Linked DNA regions of Kluyveromyces lactis. The protein of the gene in region 4 purifies or fractionates together with the protein of the main gene of each other region. This does not show direct contact. Links are inferred from orthologs where the notes say so. Each region holds a gene or a part of one and is shown on either strand. Other genes may lie near its edges.

Evidence for each region.
Region 1: the proteins of CYM1 (region 4) and PDB1 purify together in Saccharomyces cerevisiae (affinity purification with mass spectrometry; 3 studies listed by BioGRID). This does not show direct contact. The link is inferred for Kluyveromyces lactis from reciprocal best matches to the Saccharomyces cerevisiae genes CYM1 and PDB1.
Region 2: the proteins of CYM1 (region 4) and LAT1 purify together in Saccharomyces cerevisiae (affinity purification with mass spectrometry, with the first as the bait; 3 studies listed by BioGRID). This does not show direct contact. The link is inferred for Kluyveromyces lactis from reciprocal best matches to the Saccharomyces cerevisiae genes CYM1 and LAT1.
Region 3: the proteins of CYM1 (region 4) and LPD1 purify together in Saccharomyces cerevisiae (affinity purification with mass spectrometry, with the first as the bait; 3 studies listed by BioGRID). This does not show direct contact. The link is inferred for Kluyveromyces lactis from reciprocal best matches to the Saccharomyces cerevisiae genes CYM1 and LPD1.
Region 5: the proteins of CYM1 (region 4) and PDA1 purify together in Saccharomyces cerevisiae (affinity purification with mass spectrometry; 3 studies listed by BioGRID). This does not show direct contact. The link is inferred for Kluyveromyces lactis from reciprocal best matches to the Saccharomyces cerevisiae genes CYM1 and PDA1.

What each region holds. Positions count from the first base shown.
Region 1 is NC_006042.1:881,711-885,285, forward strand, and holds PDB1 (pyruvate dehydrogenase (acetyl-transferring) subunit E1 beta), read right to left. Parts: upstream 2,133-3,575; coding exon 1,068-2,132; downstream 1-1,067. Other genes in the region: TDP1 (tyrosyl-DNA phosphodiesterase 1), read right to left, coding at 3,192-3,575. UniProt on the Saccharomyces cerevisiae protein: The pyruvate dehydrogenase complex catalyzes the overall conversion of pyruvate to acetyl-CoA and CO(2).
Region 2 is NC_006042.1:461,947-466,106, forward strand, and holds LAT1 (dihydrolipoyllysine-residue acetyltransferase), read right to left. Parts: upstream 2,583-4,160; coding exon 1,161-2,582; downstream 1-1,160. Other genes in the region: flavin adenine dinucleotide transporter FLX1, read right to left, coding at 1-103; ribonuclease H2 catalytic subunit RNH201, read right to left, coding at 3,416-4,160. UniProt on the Saccharomyces cerevisiae protein: The pyruvate dehydrogenase complex catalyzes the overall conversion of pyruvate to acetyl-CoA and CO(2).
Region 3 is NC_006040.1:950,591-954,508, reverse strand, and holds LPD1 (dihydrolipoyl dehydrogenase), read right to left. Parts: upstream 2,461-3,918; coding exon 979-2,460; downstream 1-978. Other genes in the region: SEC59 (dolichol kinase), read left to right, coding at 1-270; KLLA0_D11143g (uncharacterized protein), read left to right, coding at 3,412-3,457, 3,546-3,790.
Region 4 is NC_006038.1:73,246-78,107, forward strand, and holds CYM1 (pitrilysin family metalloprotease), read right to left. Parts: upstream 3,365-4,862; coding exon 416-3,364; downstream 1-415. Other genes in the region: mRNA-binding protein NPL3, read left to right, coding at 4,194-4,862. UniProt on the Saccharomyces cerevisiae protein: Degrades mitochondrial transit peptides after their cleavage in the intermembrane space or in the matrix, and presequence peptides; clearance of these peptides is required to keep the presequence processing machinery running.
Region 5 is NC_006042.1:1,099,510-1,103,333, reverse strand, and holds PDA1 (pyruvate dehydrogenase (acetyl-transferring) subunit E1 alpha), read right to left. Parts: upstream 1,906-3,824; coding exon 667-1,905; downstream 1-666. Other genes in the region: ARX1 (putative hydrolase), read left to right, coding at 2,913-3,824. UniProt on the Saccharomyces cerevisiae protein: The pyruvate dehydrogenase complex catalyzes the overall conversion of pyruvate to acetyl-CoA and CO(2).

The DNA.
Region 1 (3,575 bases), on a different chromosome or scaffold from region 4:
AAATCGAAGGCTGTGTATTTCTGACTGAGAATACACCCTCGACGTTATAAGTCAGTTTAGATACAAGCATTTCATTCATTACGGATCCAAAAATTACACATCTACGGTACTTACATATCAGATACATATCTAAACGCATTTTCTGGCAACCAATCCGAATATTTGAAGAAAAATAATCTCCTTTGTTTCTTAACATTTCAACTGAAACCTTCTAGCGTAACTGATAGGTCTCTCTCCTTACCTATTCAATTCATTCCAGTAGTACGTCAAGTACGCATTGGATGGCCTAAAAGTGCCTGATTGTGTGTACATGCGTAAGTGTTTGGCTAATAGTTCTTAGCGAAAAAAAATACTTCCCCATAAACGACGAATATTCTGCCATTTCAGGCAAATAGCTGCCCTTATATTTGTTAACAACTTGGTAAGCTTAATTTCCAATTTAAGTGTTATGAACCTCTCTCCTGGTCCAGTCTTAAACCCTCTAATGTATCCTACATCGCTAAAGCCATTTCAGCTTAGAAAGTGTAAAAGACAATACCTTGATGGAAATAACGACAAGTTGTACAGAAAGTAGCGCACAGCGTCTTGTTTTAACGGCAGAATATATATATACAGTTTAATCTCATAACAACCGCAGTTGTCCCCAAATACCTTATTGTTCCCATCTCTAGTGATGAAAACTTTTCTTCATCATTACTGATGGGCAACATACATGAAAAAAAATTGTAAAATCTCTAATTCATCAACTTACCTTTACCAGCGAATAATTCAACGACAGGCAACTCTATCTCATTCTATTTCCTAATCCAAAATCGTGTATTAACTGAACTTGGTATTCATATCTTAATAATATAATATGTTTTAATTTTTCTATTTTTCTTTGAAGTTTGTAAATCAATTCATAACTTAGTTTATTGCAACAAAGGAGTACAATCATAAGAAAAACCGAATGCGAATGAACCATCATGCACTATTCCTTATCCAATGAATATTCTCTTTTGTTTTGATAAAAAACGGAGGCCAACAGAGGTGCATAACTGTCAGTAAAGAAAGAGTGCACGGTGCAATCATTCAATAGACAAAACACTTTTAGCAGCTCTGACAATGGTGTCAGGGTCTGGGAAAGCAAAATCTTCTAATTCCTTAGCATAAGGAGTTGGGACTTCAGCACCAGTAACTCTTTGAATTGGAGCATCCAAATAATCGAAGGCTTCAGATTCCATAATTTGAGCGATAATTTCAGCACCAACACCGAAAGCTGGGAAAGTAGATTCAACAGTAATCAAGTGGTTGGTCTTCTTGACAGTGTTGATGATAGCTTCAACATCCAAAGGTCTAATGGCTCTCAAATTGATAACTTCAGCAGAAACACCGTATTGCTTAGACAAAATTTCAGCAGCTTCCAAAGAGAATTGAACATTTCTGGTGTAACTGATGATAGAGATATCAGAACCTTCTCTTTCAACCTTTGCTTTGTATGGCAAAGTGAAATCAGTAGACAGAGATTCTTCAGAGACTTCGAAAGATTGACCGTATAACAATTCGTTTTCCAAGAAAACAACTGGGTTTGGATCACGAATGGCAGCCTTCAACAAACCTCTAGCATCTTCAGCAGAGTATGGAACCAAAACCTTCATACCTGGAACAGAACCGTACCAAGCAGAATAATCTTGGGAATGTTGAGCAGCAACACCGACAGCAGAACCGTTTGGACCTCTGAAAACGATTTGACATTTCTGAGTACCACCGGACATATAGTAAGTCTTAGCAGCGGAGTTAATGACTTGATCCATAGCTTGCATGGAGAAGTTGAAAGACATGAATTCAACAATTGGCTTTAAACCCTTCAAAGCGGCACCAACAGCCAAACCAGTGAAACCCATTTCGGTAATTGGAGTGTCAACAACTCTTCTTTCACCGAAACGGTCCAATAAACCCTTGGTAACCTTGTAAGCACCATTATATTGAGCAACTTCTTCACCAATGATGAAAACATCATCATCACGGTCCATTTCTTCGGCCATGGCAGAATTCAAAGCTTCTCTGACGGTCATGGTCTTGGTAGAAGCAAATCTCATGGATTGAACCACAGAAGGAACAGCCCTCTTAAAAGTGTTAGAAAGCATCATCATGTTGTATTAGTATTTAATAATTTTGCCAGTTGAAAGTTTTTATCAATCGGGTACTAACGTTTCGTTTCACTACGTGTAATTCTTCTTAACCTTTAAAATTGTCTTCGCTTGTAAAACGTTTACTGAACCAAAGGAGAATGAATATTATACTAGAGTTTGATATCTTTTCGTTTTTCTTTTTCTTTTAAAGGTAGAAGAAATAATGTTTTGATAATTCGAAAACAAAAACGAAGCAATAAACAAACAGACAGAAGTTGTTGAGATGCGTTTGTTATAAGACAGACAAATTAGATAGTCAATTGTCAATTCTATAACTAAAAAGGATCCTTTTCAACTGAATTCTTTTTTATAATTTCTTGAATTTGATATTATTTTTTCACTGAAAAAAAATAAAAACTCGTTCTTTGACCTATTCAACAAATAGACGTTAGCCTCAGGGAACCGCTAATTGAGTGGGATTGGATGAGAATCTGTAGTAAGATTTATAAAACCTTTAAGAAATTATAAAGTAAGATTAAACAAGTATTGAATTACAGATCCATAAAGTATAAAAAATGAAACACAAAACAGAAGATAATACAATGAATAAAGGAATAACGACTCTAAAGAACTAACAACTTCCCTGGTGCTGAAATGACCCTCTTATATTTCTTTATATATTGGTGAAATCAAAATCCTTTAAAGGAATATATATGCGCTGCATAAGCTTTTTTTTATTCGTTTCGACTGTACGGGTCGAGCGATTCGCGGGTTGCTATACCGTTGTATTTATCTCATAGATATGCTAGCGCATAGTAAGTGCGCCATCACAAATCTGCTGAAAAAACCTGTTTTGGCGACGGGAGAATACGACATAGCAGATGAGATTGATGGAGGCGATGAGGTGTATAGGTGTTCAAACGACGGAAAAGGGTGGGGGCACGTGATGCGTGGGAATGATGCGGACATTGTCAATTTTTCTGTTATTCCGGTGTGATACCTAAATAATCCGGGTAACGTAAAGCGCTGACAGATGTCAGCGCCTTAGAATGTTGTTAGATGGTATTATTGTGTATATCATCATTGAACGACAGAGGTATAAGGTTCGTCAGTTGCTGAGTAACGCTGAAATTTCAATGGATACGGCGTCACCACTTTTACTGTGGGCAGAACAGTTATGTCTTCGGGTACCCTTGACCCAATTGTTCTTCCTGGCGGTTGTTGGGCACTTGCTAGTGTTAACCGTACTTTGTTTCTCCCCATGGTTGTCGTGTATAGAATACCGCATTCGTAATTGGTAGGTTTTTTTAGTGGGCTGGGACCCCATGCAGCTTGGGAAAGGTTATGACTGGTGAGTAGTATCCAATCTGGTCGCTTGAGTGTATTTTCATCTGTGAATTGTATATAATATTTGGTATGGCTTGGAACCATATGCCTATTCTTATCGGACTGTGTCGCGTTTGT
Region 2 (4,160 bases), on a different chromosome or scaffold from region 4:
AGTCTAGTGGATGAGTTACAATAGTGGTTATTGTTCCCGCAGTCAATCCAGAAATTATTTCCTTCTGCAATGGACTCAAAACTGAATTAGATGTTGCATCCATCAGGCAAAAACTAGTATGTACGCAGATATTGCAATTTAGCCGGAGTAGATGCAACACATATACAATTTACTCAGTCGTAGGATGCCGAAGGTAGAACCAGCGTCTATATTTTTTCAAATGGTGACAATAATGTTCATTATATTTTATGGTAAAATATTATATGCTAAAATCCAAATACTGGAATAAACTTAATATAATGTAATATATTTACAAGATATACACATACATGGATCATAGATATACGTGTAAACAGGACATATTCTGTAGGAGCATGGAATCACTCAGCAGCTTTTTTAAACACTTGGCAAAGGAGATAATAGGTTCAATGGGTGTGGTCTGTTAGAAGTATGAGTCCAGCCCAAGTATAGAATAAATGGTAACCAGCCATAGTGCGCAACGGTTTGGGTTAGATTCAGAATTTTAGTAATACGTTCCTTGGATTCGTCGGATAGAATAAATGATGGTAAGAATGCCATGGTGGATCTGTTTTCGGTAATGTTTGTCTCTTAACGGTTAAAGTTCAACGAGGTCAAGGGAACTGAGCCTGCAATTAAGATACATTACCTGGTCAAAGTGTTAGCACAAACTTGTCTTCTTTTGTAAACATTTTTTTTCCAACTTTATTCCTGTATTTCGGGCAATGTAAAAACAGTCACGTGGTCTAAAATATTAAAAGAACCTTGGGGACTGCTATGAGAGAATAAGTTCAGTAGTATATACAGTAAATCGGAGAGAGTGCTGTTATGCAAAGCGATTGCGAGGAATGGTAAAAACATGAGATATTCAATTTCTTACATTATATCTATAGAAATGGTAATTTTTTACATAGTTGCAGTATGTTAAATCGAATTCTTTCCATGCAAGGTTGTGGGTCGAATAAGTCATAACTGACCTACAACGTTGTTAAAAGGAAAGCGTGGCTATTGGCATACGGTCGAAAAACTTCGACTAGGAGAATTCGTTTTGGAATGTTGGTGGGTAGGCTTTTTTCTTCTTTACTTTGAAATTCTTAACTTTATTATTTTTGATCATTAGATTTGTTAGGTTCTGAATCTGTTCATAACAATAGTTCCAATGGGTTTTCAATAACCTTCTTCAATTCCTTCATGAATTCACCACCCTTAGCACCATCGATAGTTCTGTGATCGAAAGTACCAGTGATATTCATCTTTTGGTCAAAGGTGAAGCCGAATTCGGAACCAGCATCTTCGACTGGGACCTTGTTAACGGTACCGATAGCCAAGATGGTAGATTGTGGTGGGTTGATGATAGAGGTGAACATGGAAACGGCAGGGTTCATACCCAAGTTAGAGATACAGATAGTACCACCTTGGAATTCTTCTGGCTTCAACTTATTATCCTTAGCACGCTTACCTAAGTCCTTGATTTCCTTAGAAATGGAAACAAGGCCCTTGGATTCGGCGTTCTTGACGATCGGAGTCAACAAACCGGTTGGGGTAGCAACAGCGACAGAGACGTCAACGTTCTTGAACTTTCTGATGACACCTTGTTCTGGCATCCAGTAAGCATTAGCATCTGGACATCTCTGAGCAGCAACAGCAATGGCCTTGATCAAGATGTCATTGATGGACAACTTGTATTGGTCTTTAGCAGTAGCGTTCAAGGATTGTCTCAACTTCAAAAGCTTAGAAACACTAATTTGAGAGGAAACAATGTATGATGGAATATTTTGAGTGGATTGCAACAAACGGTCACCGATGATTTGTCTCATGTTACTGATTGGAACATCTTCATAAGTGGCGGATGCTGGAGTTGGGGCAGCTAGGGCTGGAGCGGCCTTAGCAGCGGAGGATTCACGAGATGGAGCCGAGGCCAAGAAGGCTTCAACATCATCCTTAGTGATTCTGCCTCTTGGACCAGTACCTTCAACTTCCTTCAAGGAAACACCATGTTCCAAAGCGATGCTCTTGGCCAATGGAGAAGCAAAGATTCTAGTACCTGAAGAAGCAGAAGATCCAGAGGATTTCTTGGCAGCTGGTTTAGAAGCTGGTTTAGCACCTTCCTTGGATTCTTCCTTGGATTCTTCCTTTGCAGGTTGCTTAGCACCATTCTTGGCAGCTTCCTTAGCAGCGGTAGCAGATTCGGCGTCTGCAGCAGTGAAATTAGCGAAAGCTGGAACGTCAGATTCTTCCTCAACGTAAACAGCAAGTGGCTTGTTCACTGGGATATCCTTGGTACCAGCTGGAACCAAGATCTTAGCCAAATAACCTTCTTCTTGGAATTCGAAATCCATTTGAGCCTTATCAGTTTCAACTTCAGCAAGGACATCACCAGGCTCCAACCTGTCACCAACGTTCTTACTCCATTCCGTCAAACCACCTTGAACCATGGTAGGAGACAAAGCTGGCATACCAATGATGGTGTATGGTGGGTAAGAAGCATACGTTCTCAATTGAAGTCTGGCAGCACAAGCCAAGACGCTCATTCTTGGAGCAACTCTAGAAAGTAATGCAGACATTTTTCCTAGTTCTTTTCTTAATATATGTACACAAACAATTGATTCGTTCCCGTAACTTGGTTAATACAATTGAATATCAAATGTAAGCCGATTTTATCTTCTGGTACAGTCAATTCCTGTGTCCAATTCGTAGTGAAATGTAACCTTAATAAATATTGATATCTCAGTTCTAAATGAAGGAGGAAAAGGCTTGATGTATTATTTCAATCTTCTTCTTTCAAGCGAGATCAATTACCAACAGGTGTAATCAGTGTTCCAATAGTATCGTCAAATGCACTAGCGAATCACAATCATTTTTTTTTCTCTTGTGCAATCTAATCGATGTTATTTACAGATAAATGTTCTCCCATCTAACCTTTTTCCTTTTATTTCTTGAGAATTTCAGTTTTCAGAATTTTCGAAATCCAAAATATCCACACTATAATGGTGCGACGGGATAGAAGGTGGGATGAACAGAAACATGCCCGTGATCCGCTGCAAACTGATAGCTGCTAGAAGGGTTTCCGTCGTGATAGTTATAAAGCTTTATATAATGGTATTTCTCGAGATGATATTTATCTCAATCCCAAACCTGCTCTTGAGCTGTATAAATGCTTTCACAATTGATGGAGTAGAGTAACTTACCGATTAATATGTGGTGTAGGGAGTTTACTAGTGTCAATTTTTGGCTAGTGCCAGCGGCCTAAACGGTGGCCACAATTGTGCCAGGCAATGCAAATCTCGAATGCGGGTAGCTTATTTCGTAATCTGATGACAGCGTCGCGACTGTCAATAGATAAATTCATAATACGTTGTATATATAGATAGTAGGATAAATGGAAATGAGTCAGGGTTTACTGGTACCAGGAATCAAGTGTAATAGGTCTGTTTTTCTGTTCGGGTGCCCACTGCATTTTTTTCTTGGTCATTGCGTCTTCTTCCCATTCTATTTCGATGGTAGATTTACTATTTGCGAGCATCGTGGCACATGTTTGCCAAGAGAACCGTACCATGTAGGGAGACCATCCCATCAATGGTTTCATCTCGTTTCGTAGCCATTGAACGGTTTTTGAGTCACCAGGATACCCTGACCCAAGGATTTCATCTTCGGTTTTCTTGCATTGTGAAAGGATGATATCTCTGGTCACTTTTGCTACCACACTCGCAACACTTACAATGGGGTAAATAGAATCAGCCTTTTTCGCAACGGTGAATTTGCACTGTGGGAAGATACTTTCCAATTTCTTTTGATACGAGATAGGCGGACCCACGGTATCGACGTACACGTGACCTACTTTAACACCAGATTTCAATACATCGTCTATCAATGCGATTGTCACATCGTGCGCCTGTTCATTCAAATTGTAATTCTTTTCTGGTGGGAACCTGAACATCCCGCTGCTGATATCACATGCAGTTATAGATGTTGTAGCGTATCCAACTCCGTCTATTTCTCCTCCGTAGATCATGGCAAACAGTTTCTGTCTCACTGGATCGGTTAGTTTCTTAGAGTCGTCGAATCCATATTTGCATATTACGTCCTTTTCATATTGACGCGTGCAATAGCTGATACCATAAACCATGGGGCCCATTACAGGT
Region 3 (3,918 bases), on a different chromosome or scaffold from region 4:
TCATTGGCTTCCATTATTGGTAAAAAATTTGGAAGAAACAGATGGCCAAATACTTGTAAAACTTTCGAGGGCACTTTTGCATTCATTGCAGCTACTGGCATAACTACAGTGATTATGAAAGTTTACTTTAACTTTTTCACCGAGGTGTCGTTCATGAATTTGGTTCTTGTATGTTTCCTAGCTGGCATCTTGGAAGGTAATAGTACTTTGAATGATAACTTACTAATTCCAACTTTCATGTTGATATTGTTGGAATCTATGAAGGAATAGTATTGATAGATAGTCAAACCTGTTATGCAAAACCTATATATTCAAAATTTGAGTATGTAGTAAATTTATAGATTAGGGCCTATTTTTGTTCCAAGGGTACTTCACTGACCATGTTTCCATCTTTCTTGCTTCTGAATAAGATTTGAATGGTCAAAATGCGTTATAAGTTAGTATTGTGAAACGTAATGATATAAATAGAAAATCATGTTTACACGGAGTGGTGATGGTTCACTCAAAACTCTTGTTAATAAGAAATTAGGGCGTGTGGCGTAGTTGGTAGCGCGCTCCCTTAGCATGGGAGAGGTCTTCGGTTCGACTCCGGACTCGTCCAATCTTTTTATTTCCCCTGTTCATTCTGGACCAATGATCTCTTTTTTTGATATAACGATGTGGTGCCTATTACACACAAGCTGAGAATGTTCTGAGAATTCGTTTACAAACATTTCATATCATTTACGTTAAATATATTATACGTGTTTACTATTTATTTTTGATAATCTTTACTTTTCAATGTATAGTTTGAAATCAAAGAATGATTCGAGGAATATATAAGAAGAAAGATGCTTCAGATGGCGAGATAAATAAAAAAAAAAATAGACGACAACTGGATACGACGTACCATTGTTAAGTAGCTTATTATAGTTATTGATATCAAGCAGCTTCAATTATCCGCAATTTTTTTTTTCCACTTCGCTTTATCAAGAAAAATTAGAAGTTGATTGGCTTGGCGTAAGCAGCTAAGTTAGCTTCCTTGAAAGCTTCGGATAGAGTTGGATGAGCGTGACAAACTCTAGCGATGTCTTCAGCAGAAGCACCGTATTCCAATGCTAAACCGGCTTCAGCGATCATTTCACCAGCGTTAGGACCAATGATGTGAGCACCTAGTAAACGTTCAGATTCTGCGTCGATCAAAATCTTAACGAAACCTTCGGTGTCCATGTTGGTTTTAGCTCTAGAGTTAGCGATGAATGGGAACTTTCCAATCTTGTATTGAATACCAGCTTCCTTTAATTGTTCTTCGGTCTTACCGACCCAAGCGACTTCTGGGTGGGAGTACATGACAGCCGGGATGTTACCGTAGTTGACATGACCGTGGCCGACCTTGAAGTATTCGGCAGCAGCGATACCTTCTTCTTCAGCCTTGTGAGCCAACATTGGACCGAAGGTAACATCACCGATAACCTTGACGTGTGGGAATTTGGTGGATAATTGTTCATCAATGACCAATCTACCACGCTTGTCGACTTCCAAACCGATCTTTTCAGCGTTCAAACCAGCGACGTATGGTCTTCTGCCGACAGCGACCAACAAGACATCAGCTTGGAGAGATTCCTTCTTACCATTCTTGGCACCTTCGACTTCGATGTCAACGACGTCACCGTTTCTGGAGGCAGACAAGACCTTGGTGCTCAACTTAAAGTCGAGACCTTGTTTCTTCAAAATCTTTTGAGTAGTTTGAGCGACTTCACCATCCATGGTAGCACCAATTTGAGGTTGGAATTCGATCACAGTGACCTTAGAACCCAATCTGGAGTAAACTGAACCCATTTCTAAACCGATGATACCACCACCGATGATAGCCAATTTCTTTGGGATTTCTTTCAAGGAAAGAGCACCAGTAGAAGAAACGATTCTTTCCTCATCAATGGTGATACCTGGGAATGGAGTCACTTCAGAACCAGTGGCAACAATAATCCTGTCACTTTCCAAGAGGTGATCTTCAGTAACGGAACCTTCCAGACCTTCCACAGGAAGAACCTTAACGGATTTGTCAGTTTCAAAGGCACCTAAACCTTTGTAGTAAGTGACACCATTCTTCTTGAACAACATTTCAATACCACCAGTCAATTGCTTGACGACAGTGTCCTTAGCCTTTTGAAATTGAGCAACGTTAATGTTGATTTCACCGTTGATATCAATACCTCTTTGCTTAGCATCCGTCTTCATTTGATGGTATAGGTGAGAATTGTTCAACAAAGCCTTGGATGGGATACAACCAACGTTTAAACAAGTACCACCTAGTCTACCTCTTTTCTCAACACAAGCAACATCGTAACCGAGTTGAGCAGCCTTGATAGCAGCAACGTAACCACCTGGACCACCACCAATAACGACCAAGTCGTGCTTCTTAGTAACGGTTTTCAAAAGAGCAGAAGAGCTAAAGGAACGGGTAGAATTGAATCTCAACATCTTTGATTAGGGCGGATATAAATAAACAAGATAAATAAGATAATCCTCTAACCTCTTACTTATACGTTATCTGAACCCTTTCTCTGTGGTTTCACTTGATATATTTCTTGAAATATAAAATATCCTAGTGAATTCCTTTTATATTAATGTCAATTGGAATGGAAAAAAAAGATTACGATCCCAAATAAATACAACTATTAGACGGTTTGATCAATTAAATAGCAAGAAAATTGATCTACAGGACTCAAATACCAGCATGATGCGGTAGGGTTTGGTGATTCACTACGGTACGGACCATATATAAACTACAATTATATAATTGAACGGATTGTAATTCGAAAAAATACTGTAGTATTCCAGAGAAGACCACTTATTTAACTGATCTATATTTCATCGTTCCTTTGCGCAACTTTTAAGTTGAAGAACCAGTTTTTTTTTTATCAATCTATTGAGCTTTCCAAACTGCCAGAGTCATTACTATTAATTATCGAAATGGGATAACACAGTGAACAGAAGTATCTTTGTGAAAAGCTGTTTCGCTGGTGTGATCTATAAAGGCGACGGCTCATCACAAAAAAGTTGCAACTGTCTTGACGTGGGGAACAGGGAAACCTTCGGAATCGACAAAAATTGAAACTATTGAATGAAATCAGTTGAAAAATAACGAAACGAACCTAAAAAAACGGAAGCCGTACGGGGGCCGACACGAAAGGCGCAGGGCGGGCTATCAAGAACGTGATTAACACGTGATTCAAACCGGGTAACGTTTATTAATTTATGATCACGTTGTTTTTTTTTGATTACCAGTTTTTCCTTCTGCCAAATACTCACTATGAGATATGATATCCATATAAAAGAATAATGAATCATGATATATGAAGGATAAGGGAGATTGTTAGCAAGAACAAAGAATAGAGTAGCAACAGTAATAACAAAGCATTAGCCGCAGATATGAGATTTGCACCTATTTTTATTGGAACGGCGTTGGCCAGTTCGTGTATGTTTAAGGACGGATTTTCTTAACCCTTTTTTTTCCCTTTAATTCTCAACTTTACTAACATCATCATCGTCATCGTCAAATACAGTATCTTCACTTATGGTTATATATCCTGACAGCTTCCAATACTACAATGATTTAGTGAATGTGGCACATGAACTTGATGGGACTATAACGCATGAATATACATTATTCAATGGGTTTAGTTTGGATTTGCCAGAAGAGTTTGTCGCTAAATTCAAGGAAATGAACCAACATTTTAATTGGGGGCTTGAAATAGAAGAAGACCAGGAGGTTCATGCGTTAGGTGGGCTGAAAGAACATGCTGTTTGATTGCATTATGGACTGAATCAACGTTGTGTCGGTCTTTACTATTATTTTCTATGTAGATTTTATACGCAAACATATATTACTCGGTTTAAGGATATTTTTTCAATTCTATCAAGCACTTCAGCAATGTA
Region 4 (4,862 bases):
ATCAATTAGGAAACAAACGTAGCAACGTATCTTTTTGAATTCAGTTAGAATTAGATATACGTTTTTTTTTTTTTTAAATTTCAAACCGAAACCTATATATTTTATTATATTCTTCGCGATCTGAACTGTCGTGAAAATCAACCATGCAATAAAGGTGTTAAAATTCGAAGTTTTGATCTTTGGAAACCAAACAAATATAGAACCAACCATACGTAAAAGACGCGTTTTTTATGATGATTACACGTGATCGATATTGGCAGATGTTAAGTTTTATCAAGGAACAAGGGATATAACTCTGCCGTGTGCAAGTACGTCTAGGCACTGCGACGCACAATTAGTAATTGGGTATTGTGAGTTATAAATACATATATATATATATAATGTGGTTGTATTATGTACAAGAAAGAGCTTCCCGTTACACGGTTTGAACTAAGGCATCAAAATTTGGGATTTCCGGACCAACTATGGAGGCAATGGATTTATCTTGCTTGAGGTATTCCTCTGCCACTTGATGTATATCATTCAAGTTGACGTCTAAAAGTTGCTCTCTACGACGTTGTTTCATTTCGTCTGTTACGTCGTAATGGAATAAAATGGTACCTTCGTTTTTGGCGCTCATTGGGGAGTCTACTTGTTGGAAGACACTCAATTTCGCTTCATTCAAGTCTGGTTCACCCCACGAAGACTTGTTCAATATGAATTCTGGAACGCTATCGAATGTGGACAAAGAATTTAAAGCGTGAGGATCCCTGTAAGAATAGAAACTGAAAGTACCATCCAAAGCGCTGTAAGTAGCACCACCACCATATGCGCCACCTTTTTCACGAATTTCACGGTGCAAATATTTGTGTGTCAACATGTTAGAAAGGATTTGTAGCTTAGCGCCATCAGGATGGGTATAGGAAACGCCTGGGTAACACTTGGCGGTGTAATGAACCTGAAATGGGAACTGGAGTAGGGTTGGTTTACCTGGGTTTTCCAACATTGAGTAATTCTCAGAGTAGAAGTCACATGGTTTTGAATCCTTGGGTAAGGAGCTCAAAAAGCCCGTGATTTGTTGGTGAACTGCATCGATTTGAACTTGAGAATCACTGGTGATCATGAATTTCATGTCTGAACTGCCATTTATATATGATTGAAGCTCAACCAATTTTGAAACCACTTCTTTCTCAAATAGTGCTTCATCATCCAAACATTGAGATAACTTATTGATTAACTGTAACTGTTCGATACCGTTTAAACTTTCGTTGATGGCTTTAGTTACACTTAAATGAGCAGCACCGAAGTTCCGGGCAAAAGCATGACCAGTCTCAGCCACAGACGCTGTGTTTGAAGATGCTAATGATCTTATTAAGACCTTTAGCTTTTCTTTGTGCTTATGGAAATCAGTTTCACATAAAAGTTTCTTCCAAAACTTGAAGATGTGATCGGTTTTGCTGTTCAAAGCCCATCCATCAACTTGGAATAGCAGCATAGGCTTACCAGTCTGTGCATCTGGATTTACAGATACGCGAGTTGAGACACCGCCAGTGTGCAATTTGATTTGTTCTTCAATGGTGGAAAACTCTTCAGTTGAAGTACCAAGGTTCGTCAATGAGTCTGCGTATAATGGTAGGAAAGGATAAAGTTCTCTTGGAATATGGTGGTTTAGTAAACGCTTACCTCTGACGTATGTAATACCATTGGTATCGGTAATACGATTTAAAACATTATCCTTCTCTAACAATGGGTATGTCTTTGAAACTCTTGGAATTGCACTAATTTGCAATGAAGGAAGGCAACTCAAATCCTCTTTGAGGTCCTGTAGTTCTTGCAATTGTTTACCACGTTCGAAAATGACCTTTTTGTCTTCTTCGTCAAGGAGCTTTAACTTTCTCTCCAAACGTTCTTGTTCCTCAGCATCAAGTTTCTGAGAGAACGTTTCTGAGCCCTTCATGGTGAATTTGAATACAGGTTTTGAAATCACGAATTCTTTGATTAAGTCTTTGAATAAATTATCACCCTTAGTGGCCCAATCTTCTTGGAATCTTTCTAGTGTCTCATCGAACAATAAAGAATCAAATGGATCAGTCTTGTTAACCCATCCTGGTAAAACCGAGTACAGTAATTGTAAACCGAAATCTGCCCTTTGGTCTTTCTTAGATAACTCTAATTGTTGAATGATTGCTTGGATCCTAGACTCCTCAAACGGATTCTGTAATACTTCTTCCCATACTTTGTTAATAACTTCATATATCGAATCCACTTCATCACATCCTTGAACACCAATAGTGATAAAGTTTGCAGCAGTCTGCGACTCTACACCAGTGTTAACTGAAAAGTCGTACGCCAGCCCACTTTCAATTAGTTTTTGATAGAAAGGAGAGGAATGTCCGTCTAATAATAAATTACCCAAGATCTTCAATAGAAATGTTTGGTACGTGTCTTCAGGTTTACCACAAATCCAAGTCACAGAGGTCTTGATCTGTTTATCCGGTGGTAACATAGGATCAACCTGTCCTTCGGTTTCTACAGAAACATCTTCTTTCATTTGGATTGGTAATAGTTCCCTCTTCTTAGAACCCCTTCTACCATAACCTTGATATTCTTTATTCAACCTCTGTAAGGTATTGTTCAAATCGAAGTTCCCGTATGTAAACGTCTTAGCATTAGAAGGATGGTAATTATTTCTGTGGAAACTGATTAAATCTTCATATTGAAGATCAGTCATTTTAGTTGGGTCACCACCAGAGTTATTCAAGGATGGATAATAGCTTTCTTGAAACTTAATCCAGAAATAATAGTTAGCATTGGATACTTGACCCTTCATTTCATTGTATACAACACCTTTGAAACCTATATCGCTGTTTGGATCATCAACCTTAGTGTGTTCAAGCCTCCAACCTTCTTGTAGGAAATCTTGCTGATTCAACAATGGATTTAGAGTTGCATCAAGGTAAACGTCTCTTAGATTAGCAAAATCCGTCTCATTAGTGGTAGCAAACGGGTAAAAAGTATAGTCATGACCAGTCATAGCGTTCATGAAGTTTGCCAACGATCTGTTTAACATCTTGAAGAACGGATCGCGAACAGGATACTTATGAGAACCGCAAAGAGTTGTGTGTTCCAAAATATGTGGCACACCAGTTGAATCCGGGGGATTGGTTTTGAATCCGATACTGAACACGTTGTTGTTATCATCTCTATCAATATGTAAATGTTGTGAACCGGTTTGGTTATGCAATAAATCCACGGCTGTTAGCTTTAGTTCAGGGACAGGAAGTAATCGTTTCACTTCATATCCGTGAAAAACGCCACCTACTGGGTACTTCCTCAGCGCCCGAGACTGTGCATATTTTGTGGCATAGTTACGAATTTGAAACATGGTATTTTATAATGCAAGAATTCTCCACCTGGATTTAGATTCAATATTCCTTCGCTTATATTTCAAACCCAGTTTTTTCGATCTTGGTATATTAATCAATGATTACTGTCGTCAACGATTCTATAACGATTTATTGCGAATAAATAGATAAAAGAAATGCAAAGAGAAAACGAACGGTCAAAATATCGGAAATATCCCCTCTAAACTGCTAGTTCGCTTGGCTTTTCGTTTCTTGCCTCTGAGATAAATTCGCTAAATTGACTTATCAATATGTTAAGAGACCTTTGGCATGCTCTAGTATCTTTCCTCCAGGATTCCATACTATCGAAGAAAAACAGCTATGAACTACGGTCTCACTTCTGACGAGTTAAAAAAATGAAAAACTGAAGTTCAAGTCACGTGATACATGTGTCACTCTTACCTTTCTGTATAACAATGGTAAATACAAGTAGCAATGAGAGCATTTGATCAATATAGCCTCTCAGATCGTATTTGGTAGGAGTATGACTTGTATGAGGGCTTATATCTGTGCATGCGATACTTATCAGCACTCATTCTAAAAAGACTTGTACCGAGGATTCCAGAGTTTTACCCTACCTACCAAACCTTGTTTGACACTATTCTCTTCTGTCTTTTCTTTTCCCGATGTTCATTTAAAATTTTCACTTTCTCCTATATATAAAGACATATTTAAAACCTGGTTTTTGGAAAAAAAATTCTACTCCATCATCGTTGAGTGGCGTTGCAGTATTGTTTTTGACTAAGATATTAGTGTTTCACTTCTTTTGCTCAAGGTACAACCAAGAACACTTACTCGCGAAATATCAAGATGTCTGACGTTCCTCCTCCTCCAGCTGTCGAAGAAGAAACCTATGAAAAGCCATATGAAAAGCCATATGAAAAGCCATATGAAACTGCTCCACCACCTCAAAGTTATGAAAATTTCAATAATAGAGTTGATGACGATGAAGAGCTTTCTGATACCAGACTATTTGTGAAGCCTTTCCCTCCAGATGTCACTGATGCTGAAATGAAGGAAATTTTCGAACCTTTCGGTGCTTTGAAGGAAATAAAGATTTTAAATGGGTTCGCTTTTGTTGAGTTTGAAGAAGCTGAGTCTGCTTCCCAAGCTATTCAAAACGTTGCCGGTAAAATGTTTGCCGACTACCCATTGGAAGTTGTATTTTCCAAGAAGTTAAAGCCAAGATTCAGAGTCATTATCAGAAACTTGCCAGAAGGCTGTGCTTGGCAAGAATTGAAGGATTTGGCCAGAGATAACCAGTTAGAAACTACTTTCTCCAGTGTCAACACCAGAGACTTTGACGGTACTGGTGCTCTTGAATTCCCAACCGAAGAGATCCTGCAGGAAGCCATTGAAAAGTTGAACAACATCGAATTCCGTGGTTCAGTTTTGGCTGTTGAAAAAGATGAAAACCCACCACCAATCAGATCCTCTCGTGGTCGTGGTGGTTTTAGAGGCCGTGGCGGTTTCGGTCGC
Region 5 (3,824 bases), on a different chromosome or scaffold from region 4:
TCTGTCTAATATGCGGCTTCGCATTTGACGACATTGTATCGTAGCAACCAAAAAGGGGAGAGACAATTTATGGTGAAGAACAATGTCAGATTAGTTTACAAAACCTAGTTCACAATAAATCATGTTTATAACAGGCGCAAGATCAACGTAAGAAAAGAAGATTGTAGCACGAATTATTGAGGTAGTTTTTGGGAGTAATGAGAAAATTCTGTATCGTTGTTTTGTTTGGGAAGAAATTAAAACGCAGGTAATCCGTAATGGCAGGCATCAGTAACCAGATAATGTTCTCGGCATTGAGAATAAGCATCAACGAAGTCTCATGGAGAGAGAGAGAATGAGAAGTCACAGATGAACATTCATGTTTTAAAACCGAAAAAAACAGTTATCTGAATAGAAACCATACCGTGAATGAAATGAATAAAAAACACTTGTATCTAAAAGGTGTTTTTTTATGATTTTGGTACTTTAATATTGATTGGTGGAAAATAGCAGATGCACTATACAAATAGTATCATCTTGTGAACCTTATAGCATAATATTGTGAAAGGGCAGTTTATAGGAATATAGTTGTCTTTCGAAAAGGGAAGAGTAGAGAGATGGGAATAAAAAAAAGGATAAACGCAAAGAAGTTAACTTTAACGTTCAATTACCTAATTCGTTCTTGCTCTAATCTCTGAAAGCAAAGCTCTTCTTAGCAAAATCCCAAGTATCTTCTTGCAATCTACCTCTTAGGGTTGGAGTTTCAGAACCTGGAACGTAGACATCCTCGAACAAGATGGACATCTTAGCTTCTGGAGCTGGGGCAGCATCAGCTAATTCGACTTGCTCATCGACGTACTTTCTAGCAGCCTTGTCGTAAGCCTTAATTTCATCTTCCGTGGCGATACCCAATTCCAATAAGTGCATCTTTAAACCTGCAATTGGATCGTTCTTAGATCTCATGTGTTGGATTTCATCTCTGGTTCTGTAAGTAGTACCTGGATCAGACATAGAGTGACCACCATATCTGTAAGTTTCGTATTCAAGAACGATTGGACCGTTACCGGAGACAGTCCAGTCCTTAGCGAACTTGGAAGCTTGGTAAACAGCCAAGATATCCATACCGTTAACCTTCAAACCAGGAATGTATTGACCACGCTTGAAGTATTCAGTCATGGCTGAAGATCTTGCGGCAGCGGTACCCATACCGTACTTGTTGTTTTCACAACAGAAGACGGCTGGTAAGTTCCATAACTTGGCCATGTTGAAGGATTCGAAAACTTGACCTTGGTTAGAGGCACCATCACCGTACAAGGCAAAAGAACAAGCATCTTCGTGTTTGTATTGATGAGCGAAGGCCAAACCAGCACCCAATGGGACTTGGGCACCAACGATACCATTACCACCGTAGAAACCAGGGGCGTACAAGTGCATGGAACCACCCTTACCGAAGGACACACCAGTTCTTCTACCCATCAATTCAGCCAACACAGCTTGAACAGCAGCACCTCTCATGTAGGTGAAACCATGACATCTGTAAGAGGTGATGACGGTATCACGCTTAGTGATAGCGTTTTCAATACCAACGGCAATGGCTTCTTGACCGACAGAGGAGTGACAGAAACCTCTAATTTTCTTAGCCTTGTACAAAGCGTCACAGGCCATTTCCATTCTTCTAACGATAATCATATCCTTGTACATTTGTAGCAAATTGGACTTGGTGGTTTGATAACTTAATTCAGGAACATCCAAAAGATAACCTTCAAAAGAGGTTTCTGGCAAATCAATTTGAACTAGGTCATCATCACCTGGCTTAGTTTCATCAGCAACCTGGGACAAAGCACGGACGTTTTTAGAAAAGTTTCTAACCAATCTCAAAGAGCTGGACTTCCCAACCACAGAGGATTGAGCTTTCAAAGATAGCATGGTTTGCCTAATTTATTGTTCTTTTCGGTATTAACTACTATAGCGACCAACAATTAGAACACACAAATACACACTCAGCAGTAGTGATGGCAAAATATGTTGTATAGAGAAGAAATAAAGAAGAAGAAGCTCTGAGTTCCTGATTCTATATTAAAACAAAAAAAAGCCAACTAATGAACGATTCCTTGTTCCAAAAAATTTGACAAAAATCAATCAATCAATCAATCAGTCAGTCAATTAATCAATTGCTTGGCTCAGTATCACTGAAAGACCAAAAAAAGGTTCTTAATCACGCAACAACTGTTTCTCATCATATTCACAATTAAATCCGCCTTTAAATACTTGTGAACTTGGGAAAAAAACTTCAAAAAATTTCGTAGCCAGCCAGTCGGTATAGATAAGGGACTTGAAATAACAAGAAGTGGGTATAAGCAAGGTCAATTTTGCTCTAATTGGGGTCAAACTTGAACCGTTGGGTAGCTGATGATGCGGAGAGTATTGATATTCTACTTATTATGGGATATCTGACAGTTTCGTCTGGTGTAGGTAGAGTTTATTGTGCTGATTCAATTAGACAGACGGGATTGTTGTTAGAAAGAGTGGGAAAAGTGACGTGCACAGCGCGGTGTTTGGGTGGAACATGGGCAGCAGATCTATTACCCGGATAATATGCGGGTCATGAGTTCTAATGATACACATTACCCGAATATTAATACTTTTGGCGCACGTGATCAGAAAGTGATTTCTTTTTCATTCTCTTCTGATCGAGGTCCGGGTAATATTTTGGAAAATTTTTTGAAATATCTTAGTGCTGTGTGGCAGGAAAGGTTGTATCCAGGAAAGAAATTTGGAAAAAAAAAGTATCAGTGAAAACTTTAAAGCGATGAGATGAGATGAGGTAAAGAGAAACGAGGTACATACTTACATCATTATCATAGTGTATCGTTCCCTCCTTTGTATCAGAAAACAGCTAATACTAATAATTTGTGGATAAAATTATCCGTACTATGGCGTTACAAATCTCAAAGGAAGACACTCAGGTGTTATTGAAAGATAAGAATGTATTGATCGAACCAACAATTGAGAAATATAGAACTGCAGGTCAAATTGCTCAGACTGCTTTAAACTTTTTGATCAGTTTGATCAATAAGATGTATCATGAGAAGTCTATGGAGCCGCTACCGATTCATCAACTTTGTTTATTGACTGATTCGTTCATAGCCGATTGTTTAAGTACTAAGTTCAACAATAAGGTTAACGAGAAGGGAATCTCAATGCCAACTTGTATTGATATCGATGAAATAAACGAGAACTGGTGTCCTGAAGTGGATGACATCGAAAACTTGTCCCGTTGGAACCAAAAATCTAGATCTACCAAATCGATCGAGCTATGTAACGGTGTTACTTCTAGTTTGTCTGGGTTTTTGAAAGTTGGTGATGTCGCTAAGATCACTTTGGGTTGTCACATCGATGGGTACACTTGTAACGTGTCCCACACCGTGGTCATTTACCCAACCGTTCAGGATGCCCAATCTGGAAAATTGCTACCTGAAGCTGCTTTGCTAGGTGGTAAAGCTGATGCTCTAGCTGCCACCCATATCGCTGTTGAGTCCGTCACTAACTTATTAGCTGCTGCAAACGATTTGACCAAACTTCCAGCTGATTTCAACGCTACGAAGGTCACTGGTTCCTTGATTAGGACCGTAGTTGACACCATTGCTCAATCTTATAATTGTTGCGTTGTGCCTGGTTCTCGTATCAGAAGAATCAAAAGATTCCTTTCTGGTCAAAACGAAAATATCATTGTCGAAAGAGACTTCAAAGGTGTCATTTGGACTGAGTCTCATCAGGAAGCTGCTATGCTTGCTAGAACCGTCAATGAAACTGCTGTTGATGTCAAGCGTAAGAACCCATTTATC